Danio rerio: one gene and its partner. The protein of the gene in region 1 interacts with the protein of each later gene in a biochemical or structural test. Links are inferred from orthologs where the notes say so. Each region holds a gene or a part of one and is shown on either strand. Other genes may lie near its edges. The genes, in order: dapk1 and klhl20.

What was found.
Region 2: the proteins of dapk1 (region 1) and klhl20 are reported together in a solved structure, tested with the Homo sapiens proteins (2 studies listed by BioGRID and IntAct, with this or other methods). The link is inferred for Danio rerio from reciprocal best matches to the Homo sapiens genes DAPK1 and KLHL20.

The regions. Positions count from the first base shown.
Region 1 is NC_133180.1:45,656,861-45,660,696, forward strand, and holds part of dapk1 (death-associated protein kinase 1), read left to right. Parts: intron 1-2,268; coding exon 2,269-2,454; intron 2,455-2,747; coding exon 2,748-2,945; intron 2,946-3,836. UniProt on the Homo sapiens protein: Calcium/calmodulin-dependent serine/threonine kinase involved in multiple cellular signaling pathways that trigger cell survival, apoptosis, and autophagy.
Region 2 is NC_133177.1:37,094,837-37,097,790, forward strand, and holds part of klhl20 (kelch-like protein 20), read left to right. Parts: intron 1-958; coding exon 959-1,167; intron 1,168-1,243; coding exon 1,244-1,350; intron 1,351-2,954. UniProt on the Homo sapiens protein: Substrate-specific adapter of a BCR (BTB-CUL3-RBX1) E3 ubiquitin-protein ligase complex involved in interferon response and anterograde Golgi to endosome transport.

The DNA of each region.
Region 1 (3,836 bases):
AACACCAGTCATGCAATGATTAAACTGCTTGCTTGATTTTTAATGATGGAAAAGCTTGGACATTAACTGACTTGGATCTTTAAATCTGCTCAAGCAGAGTGAATAAATCTTTATTGACTTTGGAATAATTTATTAAAATGTTACATGTTTACAGACAGATTCTCCAATGTATCTACTTATTTAAATGTCAATCAGATTTTGAATATAAAAAAATAATAAAACATAATTCAACCATAGGCAAACCATATGAAGCATAAATGATTAATTCAATGTTTGTCTGTGTCTTCAGGCTGTGTATAGTCTCTAGTTCACCTCACCTCCAGAATCTTCATGTCCAAGTTATTTGTTCTTGTGTGAGGTCACTTCACATCACATCCCCACAGGCTGAAAACAACGCAGTCTGTTCCATAAACAGAAATGTTCCAGAAGTTTCCCTCCAAAGAGTCAAACGTTTCAGTTTTTTCTTTATATCACATGAACACTTCCCAAGAAGTTCAGTCGATACAAATAACATAATGTATTGTTTTAGAAGTGATTCTAAACTTGTATGGACACCAGATAAACATTTTCAGATTTTTTAAAATGCTTTTTAATGTTTGCATTTTTTTTATATGTTTTTTTTTATTGTTATTTAATGAGTGCACATTGAATAAGCAGAGATAAATAAACTGATCAACTTATTATAAATGAGTAATAATGTGTAATTTGGGGTCAGGCCATACTTTTGTATTATAGCCTGCTTTATTTCCTATAGAAAACATTATGAACAAAAAATGTGCTTGTTTACTTAGTTACTTCATTAATCTGAAAATACAAATTTTATTAATAGGGCCAGTGTTAATACCACAGTGGGGCAGTGGGTAGCACAATCACCTCACTGCAAGAAGGTCACTGGTTTAAGCCCCGTCTGGGTCAGTTGGCATTTCTGTGTGGAGTTTGCATGCTCTCCCTGTGTTCAACTGTACACCAGTACTGTTCACCCAGTACTGGGTTGTGGCTATAAGGGTATCGGCTGTGTAAAACATATTCTGAATAAGTTGGCGGTTCATTTCACTGTGGCATCCCCTGATTAATAAAGGCACTAAGCTGAAGGAAAATGAATGAAATATAATTATAACAACAATAAAGGATAATAATAAATCATAAAAAATATCAAGTATAAGAATTAAATGTGTGTACATACCATGTTATGTGAATACTTTGCTGTAAATATGAAAAGCAAAATCTGTAAATATGATAAAAAAAATTAGAAAAAGGGAACATACTATTTTTTATCACTGTCCTAAGATATTTAACAAAATAGGTTAACATATAGTGCAAAATACTAAACAGCTTAAAAAATTATAATAACTCCCTGTAAAAGTTTTTTAATACTGTGGGGGTCCCTTTTTTCTGAGCAGTAAATCTGCTTTCCTTCAGAAAAATCCTTCCATGTTCTGCAGATTCTTCAGTTTTTAGAATCTTTTGCCTATTTGAACCCTTTCTAGCAATGACTATGATATCTAGATCCATTTTTTTTACACTGAGGACAAATGAGGGACTCAAACACATCTATTGAAAAGGTTCAAAGGCTCATTGATGCTCCATTAGAAAACACGATGCATTAAAAGCAGTGTAGGGGGTGAAAACTTTCAAACAGGATAAAAATGTCCAATTCTGTTTTCTAATATAAAAGCCCAAATACAATCCTACCTTCAACAGATTCTTCTAAATCTTTTTTCTTTCTTACTTTATTTGTTTGTGTGGATGTGATTTTAAATACGTTTTCTTTAATGCAAATCATTTAATACCGCTAAAAAGAGAACGAGTAAATCAAACTGAGTGAAGTGCTTGATGGGTAAAACATAGGTATAAACCAAACTGATTAACTTAGTAGATCTACTCAGCTTTAGATGTAGGTTGTTAGTATGTGCAAACTTTTTTTCTGATTTTGTTGAAATGTCTTTATTGCTATACTGTCCTTCAGAACCAACACATTAATATAATGAACTAACTGGTTCCATGTAAAATTCCGTGTAGTTGACCAGCCTGATTTCTTGAGGAATAGTAACTAGTTTTGCGTTTTGTCAGTTTAGTGGCTAAATTGTATGAATTCATTTGAAAATGTTTGATTCTTAAAAGGAGGCATGCCACCAAACCCACTCGTAAACCCAACCATCGTTGGGGGAAATTGTACTAAATTGTATGAATGAGATTGAACAAATTCATACAAAAAGTTATGAATTGCTGTGAGATACCATTGAGTTGAGTCTTTCTGTTTTCCTGCAGTGTCTGTGAGCATCTCTAACCTGTACCCGGGCTGTGAGAATGTGAGTGTTCGGAGCCGCAGTATGATGTTTGAGCCCAGTTTGACCAAAGGAGTGCTGGAAGTCTTCAGTCCTGTTCATAATGCTCTCTCCACGGCTGACGACACTGCCACTAAAGCCATCGACATCCAGAACGCCAACGTCAACGGTGAACAAGCTCTTCTTTGATGAATCGAGAGATCAGCAGTCTGTTAAAGCATCATAAATGTCTATTCTGTCATATTCGCCACGCAATGTTTTTTTGATTGTCTACAGATTAAACCACTTTTATACAATGACTTGCATAAATAGCCTAGTAAAGCCTTTAAATGTCACTTTAAGCTGAATACTAGCGTCTTGACTAATAATCTTAGTTATTACATCTATGTTCAGAAAGGTGTTGAAAATATTCTCTCCGTTAAACAGAACTTAGAATTAAAATTTTAGTTTGTGTGTTTTTAGGTGTTGGAGACTTCAGTATATGGGAGTTTTCTGGCAATCCCGTCTATTATTGCTCGTATGACTACTTCGCTGCCAATGATGCCACAGCGATTCATCTGGTCTTATTCAGCCTGGAGGAGCCCTACGAAACTCAGCTCAACCAGGTCACATTCTGGCTGAACTGTCTGAAGGCTCTCACGCTGCCAGAGGACAACATCGGTATGAGTGTGTGTCCTGACACTTAAGAATAAATGTATGGATTTTTTCCCCCTCCTTTTCAGAGGGCTTTTCATTACAGTAATTGCAGACATCGCCTGAAGCTGTGAAGTCTGTGATTAAGAGGTTGTAAGAGAACTTGTACTATGTTGCTGTGTTAAAGTGTGTATCTGTATCTATGTACGTATGTGTGTGTATATTTATAGGGGTACAAATGATTTCGGGCTTATATATATATATATATATATATATATATATATATATATATATATATATATATATATATATATATATATATATTTTTTTTTTTTTTTTTTTTTTTTTATAATTTCTAGTCCAAACAAAAAAAAAACTTGCTGGTTGAATAAAAATACCTTAAAGTCAGAATTTTCCAGTGGGTATATACTTGTGGTTGTAGCTGGATTGAAACACACCATTTGCCCTTATTACATAAATAGCTAAGTATATACGACAAACAAAACATAATTTATTTTTAACAATAATTTAATTTATTATGACACTGCTATACATTAAACCATGGTTAACAGTGTATTTAAATCATTGTTTCTTTTCTTTTCTTCAAAAAAAAAATTAAAATAAAACATCCACAATGTCTTTTACTTTTATGCTATTTAGGAGCCATGTGCACCCAATGTGCAATAGATTAACATCATCAAATTAATAAAATAATCAGCAAAAGATAAATAAAATGTCAGAAAAAGGAATAAAAAAAGGACAGATCTCTAAAAACTATCATAATTACAAGATTAAAGCTGTAGATTATTAAGGAAAATGCGTTGATTAACCATTATGGTGTGCATATATTTTGCAGCCAGTTTAGACCAGTCATTTTGTCCTTTTTGAGTATATAGGAACTTTTTCGAACTCGTTTAG
Region 2 (2,954 bases), on another chromosome or scaffold:
ATGGTTAAATAAATATGTGACAATTAAAGCAGCAAATAAGTACATCTGAGTGATTTCAGAAAGATCATGTGACACTGAAGAGTTCAGAAATATTGTTGAAAATAGTTTAAAATAAATATATATATATATTTTTTTTTTTAATATTACTGGTTTTACTGTAATTTTGACCTAATAAATGCAGCCTTACAAGCTAAATTAACTCCTAAAAATGGTAGCATTAATTACATTTTTACATTTAGTCATTTAGCAGACGCTTTTATCCAAAACGACTTACAAATGAGGACAAGGAAGCAATTTACACAACTAAGAGCAACAATGAATAAGTGCTATAGGCAAGTTTCAGGTCTGTAAAGTCTAAGAAGGAAAGTATTAGTAGTATTAGTATTTTTTATTTATTTATTTTTTTTTTTGGTACAGTTAGTGTCATATTCAGAGAGGCAATTGCAGATTAGGAAGTGAAGTGGAGACTAAATAGTTGAGTTTTTAGTTGTTTCTTGAAAATAGCGAGTGACTCTGCTGTTCTGATGCAGTTAGGGAGTTCATTCCACCAACTGGGCAGATTGAGCGTGAGCGAAAGTGATTTCTTCCCTCTTTGGGATGGAACCACGAGGCGACGTTCATTCACAGAACGCAAGTTTCTGGAGGGCACATAGATCTACAGAAGTGAGAGCAGATAAGAAGGAGCGAGGCCAGAAGTCACTTTGTAGGCAAACATCAGAGCTTTGAATTTGATGCGAGAAGCAACTGGCAGCCAGTGCAAACGGACTAGCAGCGGAGTGACATGTGCTCGTTTAGGTTCATTGAAGACCACTCGTGCTGCTGCATTCTGGAGCAGTTGAAGAGGCTTGACAGAGTTAGCTGGAAGCCCAGCTAGTAGAGAGTTGCAGTAATCAGTAATTGAATTTCAGGTGTTTTAAATCAAATAGAGAATGATTAAGAACACTTTTCTTGTTGGCAGTGGAGCGCTATAACCCTCAAGAGAACCGCTGGCATACAGTGGCACCGATGGGCACTCGACGGAAACACCTAGGCTGTGCCGTGTACCAGGACATGATCTATTCAGTGGGCGGCAGAGACGACACAACAGAACTGAGCAGCGCTGAGAGATACAACCCTAGGACTAACCAGTGGTCTCCTGTGGTCGCGATGACGTCCAGAAGGAGTGGGGTATGTGAATCCTTCATCTATGTTTAACATCTTATGGAAGAATTGTCCAGCAAACAAACTCTTGTGTTTGATCTAGGTGGGCTTAGCAGTAGTAAATGGTCAGTTGATGGCAGTTGGAGGATTTGACGGAACCACGTATCTGAAAACTATAGAAGTCTACGACCCTGATGCCAACACTTGGAGGTAAATGGAGAACACTACTATTAAAGAGTTTACTAAAACAGTTTTTCTTCAGTGGATTAACACACCAAACCAATGCCAAACAACTAGCACCAATGAAACCCAACTGTGTTGTTGCCTGGATTTGGCTCGGGTCTGGAACAAAAAGCTTTCCGTGAACACACAAAAAACAAACGGCAACCGACTGATTCAAGCATGCGCAAAGGACATGTCTTTCTGCACTGCGCGGGGCTGCTGTGTCTTTTTTTTGTTCAGAACAACGTGATGCATGCATGTAAAGCGTAAACAAAAAAGGGTGTAGTACCATCATCACAGTAATTGTGGCTCACCATGGAGGGATTTGCTCCTGCAAATATGTTTCTTAATCTGATCGTTAATATCGTTTGTAAACACTTGAGAAATATTGCGAAATTACAGCCGGCCTCTTTGCCTTAATTCTTGATTAGAGTTTTGTACTTGTTGCGTCACTTTGCTACGTCATACTCGCGCTCCGATTTATTACTAAATAACCAGTCAGAGCGCTCTCTTCAGTTAAGGACCCGACGCGGATTTGACATGCTGAATCAGGCCAAGGCAACCCACCGTTAAACCAGCTAGCAGGATCGATGCTGACTAGCGAAACCCAACAGCCATTGGTTTTGGTGTGTCCTTGCATTTAGTAGCATTATCACCGTAATTGTCACTGACCATGGAGGGATTCGCTTCTGCAAATATGTCTGATAATCTAATAATCCATATCATTTGCAAATATTTGAGAAATGTAGCGAAATTACAACCGCCCACTTTTTGTTCCTTCTTGACTTGATTTTTTTTTTCACTTGCTATGTCACACTTATGCTCTGATTTGCTGTATAACCACTCAGAGTGCTCTCTGTAGCCAATGGCCCAGTGCTGAATTCGACATTCTAAATGGGACCAATGCGATCTGATGTTAATCCCGACAAGAGGCAACTTGGAGTACACACTAAACCAACTAGCCTGACCGAAGAAGCCCAATGGCCGACTGTCGGCTTGGTGTGTCCCGGCCATAAAGCCTGATTTCTACTTCTGCGTCAAGTGCACGCGAATAATCCGGCGTAGCCTTTACACAGTCGTATAGACGAGCTTTGTGATTGGTTGGCCTGGTATCGTTGATGAGTGTGACTAACCCCTAAGCCTAACAGTGTGCGCTATCAAAACAAACATTGAGTATGTTTACATGGACACCAATAATCCGATTTTAATACGATAAAGACAATACTCTGATTATGAGTAAACATCGATTATTTTTATTTATTAATATAATCAAGGTCATAATCAAACTTAACTGAAATCGAATTAAGACATGTAGAGTAGCGATTTTAGTCTCATTATTAAAGTGCAGTACAGACATGTAAACACCTTAATCAAGCCTTAATTGTGTAGGAGTTTCACCGCATTTTGCGACAGGATAGTCCATACACGCACGGCTGTTTGACACTATTCTGCACCTACCGAGTCAGTAAAGGACCACAGACACCTGCATACAGCATGAGCAGGGCTTTATTTGTGCCGAAATACGCTGGATCCGGATCTAAAATCTTCATTCTACCTATCTTCCTTCTCACCCGCTGTCCTCTCTCGTCCGC